Linked DNA regions of Pelodiscus sinensis. The protein of the gene in region 1 interacts with the protein of each later gene in a pairwise test. Links are inferred from orthologs where the notes say so. Each region holds a gene or a part of one and is shown in the gene's direction. Other genes may lie near its edges.

Region 1 (3,742 bases):
ACCTGTTTTTGGGTCGTGGGCCACTGACCCACAGAAAAATCAGTCAGGGACCACACACAAGCGAGAAGCAAAAGGAAAAACCCTCAATGACTTGGCCCAAACTGTGAAGGAGAAAGACATTCCCCTCACACACCAGAGCCTAGGGGGCCCAGGCTAGTAGATTGTGTGTGCTACAGCCCCACCTGGAGACCGCAGGAGGACTGGAGTACCTGGGGGCCCCAATTCTGACCGTCACAGGGCTGATGGGGTCTATCCACACAGTCCTAGCAATGAGACTGGGCGTTCTCTTTCTCCCCCCCCCCCCCATCTGTTGTTGGGTTTTAGCACCTTATTATTATTATTACACCTTCGTGCAGCGTGCTGATCCCTGGACAGAAAACACAGAGTGCCACTCATTCCATTGTGTAGGGGACAAGCATGTCCTGAGCAGAGAGCTGCTGTCTCAGGTACACCGCGTTCCCCTTCCTATCGCGGCTGCTAATTTGAGGGAGGAGGGGGAGAAGGGGTGGCTACGGCTAGAACAAGGTGTCTGCTCATGTTTAACGCAGCAACCCGTACCCAAAGTCAGACATCCCGCGCCGACTGCACGAACGACTGTGCGAATGCGGGGGGACTGTTCAAACTTCTACTACAAAAAATACAACCGCGGAAAGTTTTCCATTTGCTTTTCAATCTCAACCCCAAAGGGTTTCACTTCAATCCAGGGTAACCAGCCCGCTCGCCCGAGGGTCCCACGCAGCCTTTTGTTTGGCCCGCCCGAGTGTCTCGCACGTACGAGGCGGTGTGTTCCTGTGCACGGAGGAGCCCCCTTAGCAAGCTCAGTGGCCCGGCGGCTCTGGGAGGGAGCTGCTGCGGCGCTAGGGAGCAGTGTGGGGAGGCCGGGCCGGCGGCGGCGGCTGCAGCAACAGCAGCCGCAGGAATAGCAATTGTAACAGTAATCGAGCAGCAGCCGCGCTGCTCGCAGTTGCAGGGCAAGCCGGCCGGCCGCCTCCCCCTCTGGCTCGCTCGGTGCCGTTGCCCTTTTGAATGCCTCCTGCGGCTCCGAGTGCTGGCAGGGCGCTGGGAGTGTGAGTGAATGTAGCCCCGCAGAGCCAATGAGCTGGGACCGGATGCGATATATCCTCTGGGACAACAACTGCTCTGTTCCTCCTCAGATCCACATGACGCCATTTACTGCTGCCTTTGCCGAGCGCTCACCCTGCCTCCTCCGGAAAGGAAAAGAGAGAGAGAGAGGGAGCGTGAGCGAGCAGAAAAACGCCAAGCCCCTGCCGCTCAGATCTCAAATCTGCCTCCTCCTCCTCCTCCCAACACACCACAACAGGCACCACCACAGACCCGCTGCGCTTCCAAAACACCCCCCTCCCCATTACAAACCCCAGCGCTGCCTGCAAGACTCACGCTCCCAGAGTGAGCGAGCGAGCAAGCTAGAGAGGGGCGCTTGCAGCCAGCAGCTGCCCTGCAGAACGGCTACATTGCACAGGCTGCTTTCCTGGAGGAGCCCAGTGGACGAAAGCTTTGGGATTTTCTTTTAGATCCACTTTATTTTGGTTGCTTTGGCTTTTCCTTTCCCGCCCGCCCCGTGATCATTTGCAACAACAAGGAAAGTGACTTGGTACTGGCGATTCGGCCTCCTGTCCATTGAGGAGGGGGAAAAAAAGAGGAAATAGCGAATGAGTGATTTCTTCTTTTTAGGGGCTAAGAAATACCCCTCCGACCTGGAGACATTTCCCAGAGGTTTATACTTATAATCGACCTGGGGACAGAGAGCTCACTTTGCTCTGGATTTTTGAGAGGATGGTGATGATGGACTAAAGCTGAGCTTGGAAAAGTTTTTTTGTTTGTTTTTGCTTTAGGCTGGATTTACTTGCAAGCTGCAGGAAGAAGAAAACACGAGAGAGAGCGAGGGGCTTGGTACAGTGCCGCGATCACGGTGAGAACATTTTCCTTCTTTGCAAAACAAGTCTTTTTTTTTAATAGTCCGAAGAGCTGGTGGAAATGTATGTTTAAGGCCGATCCCTTTTCAGTCCCTGAACCCGGCCCCTCACGCCCTTCCCCAGGATTTGGAAGTGGAATTTCAGCGAGATTTCTTTCTTAGGGAAGTTTGGCGGGGGGGAGGGAGCATGGGATAGTTTCTCAGGATTGATCACGTTTGTTTTCCCTCAAAATGATTTTGCAGGGAGGGGGCCCCCCAGCTCCGCGCCATTGGGGAGTGGGTGAGAGCTTAGGGGGCGGAAATCTGTGCTCAGGTTTGTGCATTTGCAGGGAGCAATGTCTGCGAAATATTGCAAGCACTGGAAGCAACTCGTGTGACTTCTTTGCATACTTATATTTTCTTACAATTACTGCAACATGCTCCTGTAAGGTGGAGACGGGGAAGTCCTGGTAAATCCTGGCTCAAAGCATTACATAGGGTTTTTTGGGGGGAGGGAGGGAACAGCATGATGGGGGGGATATTTTATAGACTTTAACCTGCTTGGTGACTTGCTATCTCTGTGTACATTAAAGGCTGGCATTATTCTGTAAGTGCATGGGGAGATTTGTGCAATTCGGAAGTGACCTCACGCCTGCTATAAATGTTTTCCATGCGATACAATTAAATAGATTGTCGATCTGACAGGGAGGAGATCCTCCCCAGGTTTCAATATATGGTGTGCAGGTATGAAGCAATATGAGAGGAGGCAGGGCAAAGAAAGGTTTAAAATTTACTTTGCAATAGCCTCTGCAAGCTGCTGGGGTTTGCAGCAAGCTATGTGTGTGTCAATTTGCCCCACCCCGATGGAGAAGTCCCTTTTGCCCTAATCCATAATCTGATCACACACTCAGCCCTTCATGGGGGTTTCAAAGCACTTTCAAAGAGGAGGAGGTGGTTGGTGCGTGTGCGGTGGGGGTGTGCTGCGAAGGCTTCCGACGCAAAACTGAAATTCATGGGCAGAGAACTTTTTCCCCCTTAGGCTTCCCTTCTTCTCCCAGCCAACACGACCTGGGTTTTTCCACAGCACACAGGGAGCACTTTGCGTTTTAAACTTCCCCAAGCGTGCAGAGGAGAAAAGCCAACCCCTTTCCCCAGTCCGAGTTAGCAAATCAGGGCATTTCTGCTCTGAGTGGACTTCGGCTTTTGCAAGTGGTGAATCGCGTTATCTCAAGGGGGGAAAAAAGGAGCAAATGTTTCTCTTGCTATGCTCTTATTCGGTAGGTGGAAAAAAAAAGAGGGTGGGTGGGAAGGAGGGGAGGGGAGCATTGAGATTAGACGGGAAAGTCTTGTTTCCCTGAAAGAACTACAGGCAAAACATACGTGAAAGGAGAGTCTCAGAATGTTAGTCTGTGTCCGCAAAAAGGCGTCCCGTGGCACCTTAAAAACTACCAGATTTATTGGGGCATAAGCTTTAGAGTGGTTTTTAACCATGAAATCTTACGCCCAGTCTTTAAGGTGCCACAGGGACTCCTCGTTGTTTTTGAAATAAGAGTCTTAAGTGCTGCAGGTCTGCATCTTGCCCTGTTAACGGATCTGTGCAGTGCAATAAAACTCAAGGGCTTGTTTGTTATGATACAAATACAGAGGGGGGCCACTTTGTAATCCCTCATCTGGGGATCTGGTTGAAATTTACGCAAATTGCATACAATAAGCAAAATAGTAGCTGCCCTGGCGAAGTTTCCTGCAGCTGACTCCCTCCAGTTGGAGCTGGTGCTTGAAGGGGAAACCTGCAATTTACTAAGCTACTCTGGAGGTGTTCTCTCAAATGAG
Region 2 (3,742 bases), about 200 Mb from region 1:
AGGAGAAAGTCAACATCTTGCACCTCTTCAGTGCTTGGTTGGTATGCTGAGAATGCCAACATGCATGCCAGTTACAATATTGGGTGTTTGACCAGGTTGCCAGTCCCCAGAGAGAAATTTGAAGCCCTGGTATTACATATTCATTGTGCTCCAACTCTCATTTTGTTTTAGTTACACAGAGACTACAAAATGGGGAAGTGTGTGTGTGTGTGTGTGTGTGTGTGTGTGTGTGTGTGTGTGTGTGTGTGTGTGTGTGTGTCAGGGGGGAGGGGTCGGGGGCATAAGTGTAGGCCTGCAATACTGTACAATTGTTTCCCCATCCCTCAGCCCTATCAGGCTGTGAGGAAGTATTAGAACATTACTCTAATACTACACTATTTTGTGGGCAAAACAGTGGAGAAGTACACACTGGCTACGTCTAGACTGGCATGATTTTCCGCAAATGCTTGTAACGGAAAAGTTTTTCCATTAAAAGCATTTGCGGAAAAGAATGTCTAGATTGGCACAGACGCTTCTGTGCAAAAGCACTTTTTGCGGAAAAGCGTCCGTGCCAATCTAGACACGGTTTTGCGCAAAAAAGCCCCGATCGCCATTTTCACGATCGGGGCTTTTTTGCGCAAAACAATACCGCGTTGTCTACACTGGCCCTCTTGCGCAAAAGCATTTGCGTAAGAGGACTTTTGCCCGAAAGGGAGCAGCATAACATTTCCGCAAGAACACTGACAATTTTACATGAGATCGTCAGTGTTCTTGTGGAAATGCAAGCGGCCAGTGTAGACAACTGGCAAGTTTTTCCATAAAAGTGGCTGCTTTTGCGGAAAAACTTGCCAGTCTAGACTCAGCACTGAGATTCTCCTTCTGCGGATGTAATTCTCTGTTCCGCTGCTATAATAAAACCAGCTCAGCCAGAGGCATAAGTGGCTGTAGTGTGGGGCATGCACGGATTGTGTACACACGGTCCCATTGGGTGACTGTGGATGGTCTTTCTTGTCAGTTTCCCGCTGCCCACTGACTCCAGCACTGCGCATGGCTCCCCGGTGGCTGTAAGTCGACCTTGCCTAAATCGACCTCTCCTCGCAGTATAGACACAATCTAATTCGCTGCGACACTGCCCTGCCCTGGCACAGGCCGCGCCCCTGCTCGTGCCCCTGCCGCTGGGCTCCCCAGACCCTGCACGCACGAGGCGAGAGTCCCCCTCCCGCTCAGTCCCGCTGCTGCGGGGGCGGGGGTGGGGGCCGCAGGGCGCGGACCGGGCGGGTCCTTGCGGGGCGCGTTCCCCAGCAGCCCCCACCCCCGGGGTCCCGAGCTTGCGGGGGCGCGTGCGAGGCCGGGGTCACCAACTGCGCTCCCGTGACAGTGAGTCTGTCCCGGCCCCTCCCGCGCAGCATCCCCCTTGCGGCTGCCCCGCCCCCTAATCCCCGCCGGGCCTCCCCCTCGCTCTGCCCAGCGCGGGGGGAGCGCTACCCAGCATGCAGCGGGCGGCGGGCTCGCACCAAGATGGCGGCGCCTCTGGATGAGTACGAGAAAGAAGCGGGCTGCGTCCCCATCCTGCACCCCGAGGTGAGGCCGCCGCGCTGCTGGGCTCGCGCCGCCGGGCGCGCTCTGGCTCGCGCCGCCGCCGCCCGTTCTCCGCCCCCGGCTTGGGCGGCTGCTGGGCGGGTGGCGGGGCCGCGGGGGCGGAGGGCGCTGGCTGCGGCTGCCTTGGCCTGGGGGCCGGGCTGGGCGGGGGCGGCTGCGCTGAGGGAAGAGGCCGCAGCTTCCCTGGCCCCGGGGCTCTGCCGGGCGAAGCGCCCGGTCGCCGCTTCGGGACGCCCAGGGGGAGGGTCCGCCCCGCCGGGGGGCAGCGCGGGGATCCCACCCCCGAGTGCGTGCGGGGCGGCGAGAGGCCCCGCGAGCGGCGCGCTTGTCTGCTCCCGGCCCGGGTGACTGAGGGGACAGGGTCAGAGCGTCCCGTCGCTGCCCGCTCCTCCGGTGAGCGCCTCGCGCTGCGGGCACAGCCCTGCAAGGCCCCGTGGGAGACTCCGCAATGCACATGGCTCCGTAGAGCATCGCTCACTGCCTGGCGGAGCTGCACCATCCGTGCCAACGCGGGGCTCGCTACTGGTGGCTAAGCTACTGGTGGCAAACGGCTCAGACTTGGAATAAATGATTCCCGTCACGGTCTGCTGTTCTTGAGCTTCAGTTCACCCCTAAGAAACTGCGCCTGGTCCGACTCTGTCCAATTCTGACTTGCTGGCATCTTGTGTTTGTTTGTGTCTTCACTCCTCATTGCCACCTCTTCCCCCCACATCCTTCCAGTATAGTGGACAAGTGCTGGAGTAATGTCAAGTATCAGAGGGGTTGCCATGTTATTCTGAATCTGCATAAAGAATTAGAAGTCCCCTGGCACCTTATAGATTAACATATTTATTAGAGCATAAGCTTTTGTGGTCAAAGACCCACTTTGTCAGATGCATTTTCGTCAGTTGCATCTGACAAATGGGTCTTTGCCTATGAAAACTTATGCTCCAATAAATCTGTTCGTCTGTAAGGTGCCACAGGACTTGTTGTTTATGGAGTAATGTCAGTTGATAGCATTTAGAGGTCATTTTAAGTAATGTTCCATCCAAAAACAGATTATTTGTCTTTGTCTCAACTCTCTATAAACATTCTCCTTATGCCCTCTGATGGTTTTGGAGGATGTTGTAAACAGTATAAACAAAAGTTTTGTATGTGAACTCTTATCTAATATTGTAAGCCTATGAAAATAAGTAGGTGTGATTGCTAGCAGACTTAGTCAAACAGATGGTATTACTCTTCCATGCCAATATTTTAAAGATACTTTTAGGTTTATTAATAGCTAAAGAGACGTGACAGTGCTAAATGTGACTGTTTGCTCTTATACTTTTCGTACAGGAGTTTGACGTGTAGGAACCACTCAGTCAATAGGAGTATACTGCTAAATGCCTACATTTCATTTAAAATTAGCTCTAAGGTCTCAAATCAGACATTGCAAAGCTTAAATGTCTTTAAAAAATCTGGGCCTAGATCACACAGTGATCTGCCAAAAGGTCCTTTGGTGGCAGGTTAGGTGGAGTGCAAGTCAGGGATGTGAGTGAGTAGTTGACTATCCAGTAATCTTAGGCTTATGGAGTAGTCCACTCGACTACTCACTCCCTGCCCCCCCACTTGCTGCCTCTATATCAGAGGCAGCAAAGGGGGTGAGGAAGTAGGAGGCGGTGCTGGGGAGAGCTGACTTAAAAGCTGGTTCCCACCAGCACTGTCTCCGTGGTGCTGCCCAACCCTCCCCCTCCCATGCTGCTGCCTCTACTAGAGGCAGCAGCATGGCAGGTGAGGGAGAAGGAAGAGGGGATACTGTTGTGGAGCAGCCTCTGCCTGCAGCAGGCCCAGGCCCAGGCCCAACATGGGCAGAAACTGCTCCAGCAACAGCCCCTGTGTGTGTGTGTGGGGAGGGGGGGTCCCAGCATGCCAAGCTCTTACTACATTTAAACTGCAGAGGCGCAGCGCAGTTAGATCCGGGACCTGGTGCGTGTTAGGGCTGAGCCGGGCTTGCTCAGTCTCGGCTGGTGCTAGGGCCAGAATCTATCCCTGCTGTACCTCTGCAGTTCAAATGTACCAGGAGCTGGGCTACTTGCACGCCTGGCTCTTACCACATTTAAACTGCAGAGCCGCCGCAGGGGATAGCTCCTGGACTCGGCCCAATCTGGGACTGAGGAAGCCTTCCTTTATTGACCAATCGAAT
Region 3 (3,742 bases), on another chromosome or scaffold:
TCTCTCTCCCACTGCCATCTGCGAGAGACACAGACGCAGCCTGTGGGCTTGGCTGGTTTCCAATCTCAACTCCGGTCTGGCTGGCTCAGGTGGGGACTGGGGCGTTTTCCCGCTAGGGCAGGGTGGACCTGATCCAGCGTTCCAGGCAAGTTGATCTGGCTGCTCCCCTGGGCCCCAGGCCAGTCAGGTCCTGTGGGAGGAGTGCAAAGTCTCCTCCGTCTCCCCCCCCCCCCCCCCGCCCTGCAATGGGTGCTGCTCCTGGCATGGTGGAGGAGACTTGTCGTGCTCCCCAAGCCCTAATTGGCCTGGGGGGGAGGGACGCAAAGTCTCCCGCCCTGCAAGGGGCTCAGCGCTTGGCTGCTGCTCAGCGGGCGGGTGACTCTAAGCTGGTGCTCCCTTGCAGGGCAGGGGCAGAGAATGAGACCTCATGTGTTGACCTGGGGCCAGCAGGCGGGAGCACGCAAAGCCGCCTCCTGCTGCCAGGGGCACTTAGAGGGAACTGCCAGCTATTCTGAACAGCTGGTTGTTTTTCCTGGGGTGGGGGAGGCAGAGACTTTGCATGCTCCCCCACCCCCAGCCCAGTCGGGGTCTTTGTGTGGAGAAGTGTCTTGGCCGAGGCCCCACCCTTTCCAGGGCAGCCGGGGGCCACTTCATCCTTTTCTGAAGGGACCTCTGGTCAAAAATGACTGGCCACACCTGCTCTGCGGAGTGCCAGCTCTGATCCAGCCCTGCAGCAGGGGCCTGGCTGGCTCGGGGGGCCGGAATGGGGCTGGGGCCTTTCTAGAGGTGAGTGGCAACTGGGTGGGGAACCGGCTGACTTGGAAGTGGGGAATGGGCTATGGGTCCTTTCTGCGCAGGGGAGCACTGGCTCTGAGCAGGGCCGCAGGGCCTTTCCCCTTTAGGGGGGTGATCCAAGAATGGGGGGCTGGCTGCCTGGGGGGGGGGGAGCAGGACAGGGGCCTCTGGCTCAGAGCTGGGGCGGGTGGGGGAGCTGGGCTGTTTGCAAGTGAAAGTGTCGGTGTGAAAGAGGAACCCGGGGGTCTGGTCACACTCTCCTTGCGTCACCTCCGGTGGGGGAGCAGTGCCGGCGGGTGAGGTAAGACTCCACCCGCAGCTGCTCAGAGACCCCTGTGTCGGTGGCGCTGGGGGGCATTGGGGGGGTGAACCCCCCTGAAATGAGTGCACCCAGCGCTGAAGAGCCTCCTTTTCCCTGCACGGGGAGGGGAGGGGGGAGTGGGAAGCAGAGCTAGAGAAGTGATGATTCCCCTTTCTTGGGCTCCGGCGCGACCACAGCTGGAGTGTTGGGTCCGGGTCCGGGCCCCCCGCTGCACAAAGGACGTGGGCGCCTTGGAGAGGGGCCTGCGGCGGGCGCCCGAAGTGATGCAGGGGCTGGAGCACTTGACCTACGAGGTGAGGCTGAGGGATTGGGGCTTGTTCAGGCTGCGGCAGAGCAGAGCGAGGGGGGATCCGAGAGCAGCCTCCAGCTCCCTGCAGGGGGGTCCCGAGAGGCTGTTCTCAGGGGGGCAGGGGGAGGAGCGATGGGCTCCCCTTGCACTGGGGGAGGTGTGGGGGGGAGATTAGGACCAACTTTCCCTAGGGGGTGGGGAAGCGCTGGGCTGGGTTCCCCGGGGGGGGGTGTCTCCATCCCTAGGGGTGTTTCAGTCCCGGCCTCACGAAGCCCTGGCTGGGATGGGGAGTTGGGGGGGGGGGGGGAGAGAGCCAGGACTCGGGTTCTTGTCCCAGTTCTTGCAGGGCAGCGAGCTCTTGCTTCCCCCCGCCCCCCCCCCCCAATGCTTTCCAAGCCCGTGGGGCGGGGCTGCTTCCCCGTGGCCGCCAGGGGGCGCTCGGTGCATTCCCACAGGCTGTCGCGGGCAGGAGGGGGGAGCAGCCCCCCCCCCCCCGGGCCGGCGAGGTGCTGGGAACAGGGAAGTGGGAAGTGGGTCTGCCTAGCGGAAAAGACCCGGCCTGTTACGTAGCTGAAGCAGGTGGAGGGGGGGGCCGATCCCAGGCTCCTAGGTGGCGCCCCCCCCCCAGCCTGCGCGCCCCACATGGCTTGGGTCAGGGAGCAGACAAGGTGCAAGGGGCCTTTCTGCGGGGGGGGGGGGGGGATGGGGCACTGGGGACCTGCCCTGCTGGAGGGGGTGGGTTCGACTCCAGCCCCAGGCGGTGGGGAGGGGTGCGCGGGGGAGGGGGGAAGCAGGTCCCCCCCAGCCTGAGGTCCCTTTGCCCCCACCTGTCCCAGCCGGGGAAGGCTGGCTCAGCTCCAGGGCCGTCAGAGGCCAGGGAGACGGGCCAAGCCAACTGAGGCGTCCCCGCCCCATCTCCCTTCCCGGAGCTGGGGGGAGGGCCCAGGAGTCCTGGCGCTCAGTCCCCCCCCCGGCCCCCCCCAGCCGGGCGAGAACCCGGGACCCCATGGTCTGCCGGGGCACTAGGACCCCGGGGGGCGGGGCCGGGGCGGGGCCGGGGCTGTCAGGCGCTGCAGGGCATGGAGCGGCTCAGACCCGGCGGATGGCGCAGGAGGCAGGACACAGCGGAGGGCAGCCGCCCCGGGCCGAGCAGGTAACGCGGATCCCCGGGCCCCTCCCGCGCCACGGCGGGACCCCTGGGCCTGCAGCGGGGCACCCGGCCAGGCGCTTCCAGGACTCCTGGGTCCGGCCTGAGCTCCGAGAGGGGAGGGGGGCAGGTGGGGTGGCTGAGCCAGGACTCAGGAGGTCTGAGCTCCAGGGGGGGCTGGGGGGAGCAGGGGGCCAGGACTCGGGGGCTGGTCCCAGCTGGGCCCCCGTGGTTCTGGGGTGCAGGAGCTGGAGCGGATTCAGCACGGGAGAAGTTTTTCCATTCCCATCCCTGCTGTTAACCCCTTCCTGCCCTTCCACCGCAGCCTGCCCCCTCCCAGCCACCCCCACCAGACCCATCTTGCCCTGGGCCGGCCCCTGCGCTGGGGCTGGGACCCCCAGAATTGGGCAGCGTCTCGCCCTGGAGGGACCGGCACAGTCGGAGGTAGCATCGCCTGCCAGCCAGGCTGGGCTTGGGTCTGGGAGGGGTCACACCCATGCTTCAGGGCATCCCTCTGCCGGGATCAGGCAGCACATGGGTGTGGGGCACCCGCTGGGCCCATGGGTCTGAATGAAGGAGGGTGGGAGCCAGGACTCCTGGGTTCTCTCCCCAGTGCTGGGAGTGGAGTGAGGTCCAGTGGGTTGGGGGGGGGGGCTGACGGGGTAGGGAGCCAGGACTCCTGGGTTCTGTCCCAGCTCTGCAAGGGGCGTGGGATCTAGTGGTTAGAGCAGGGGTGCCCAAAGCCAGAGGTGTTTTTCTCTCTCTCCCGGAGGACTGACAGCCATACATGGCAGTGGGCGGTGGCCTTGGGTCAAGGGCAGAGCCGGTTCTAATCTCACGGCCAGGCCTGACCCACGCATCTTATCTCTGCTTCACCTTGGACACTCGCCTCTGAAGGGGGAGGGAGCACGAGGAGGCACCAGCCTAGGAAATCAGCTACTGTGGGTGGGGAGCTAACCAGGGGCAATAAGTGCATCGTGGTCATGGCTGGCCCAATGCCCCAGGGTGGCACTAGGGGGCGCTGTGGGGCAGGGAGCAGGGCAGGCCCCAGCAGGGGGTGCTCTCCCCTGGCAGGCAGGGCTGGCCCAGTGCCCCAGGGAGGCGCTAGAGGGCGCTGTGGGGCAGGGAGCAGGGCAGGCCCCAGCAGGGGGCGCTCTCCCCTGGCAGGCAGGGCTGGCCCAATGCCCCA

The links.
Region 2: the proteins of SPRY2 (region 1) and ZDHHC17 interact in binary tests that used the Homo sapiens proteins (3 or more experiments, as listed by UniProt). The link is inferred for Pelodiscus sinensis from reciprocal best matches to the Homo sapiens genes SPRY2 and ZDHHC17.
Region 3: the proteins of SPRY2 (region 1) and HSD3B7 interact in binary tests that used the Homo sapiens proteins (3 or more experiments, as listed by UniProt). The two-hybrid records come from large-scale screens. The link is inferred for Pelodiscus sinensis from reciprocal best matches to the Homo sapiens genes SPRY2 and HSD3B7.

Annotation. Positions count from the first base shown.
Region 1 is NC_134711.1:264,026,855-264,030,596, forward strand, and holds the start of SPRY2 (protein sprouty homolog 2), read left to right. Parts: upstream 1-1,178; 5' UTR 1,179-1,930; intron 1,931-2,493; exon of another isoform or gene 2,494-3,189; intron 3,190-3,256; exon of another isoform or gene 3,257-3,742.
Region 2 is NC_134711.1:68,473,903-68,477,644, forward strand, and holds the start of ZDHHC17 (palmitoyltransferase ZDHHC17), read left to right. Parts: upstream 1-1,403; 5' UTR 1,404-1,497; coding exon 1,498-1,560; intron 1,561-3,742. UniProt on the Homo sapiens protein: Palmitoyltransferase that catalyzes the addition of palmitate onto various protein substrates and is involved in a variety of cellular processes.
Region 3 is NC_134714.1:133,976,701-133,980,442, reverse strand, and holds the start of HSD3B7 (3 beta-hydroxysteroid dehydrogenase type 7), read left to right. Parts: upstream 1-1,242; 5' UTR 1,243-1,257; coding exon 1,258-1,410; intron 1,411-2,217; exon of another isoform or gene 2,218-2,412; coding exon of another isoform or gene 2,413-2,559; intron 2,560-3,742. UniProt on the Homo sapiens protein: The 3-beta-HSD enzymatic system plays a crucial role in the biosynthesis of all classes of hormonal steroids. HSD VII is active against four 7-alpha-hydroxylated sterols. Does not metabolize several different C(19/21) steroids as substrates.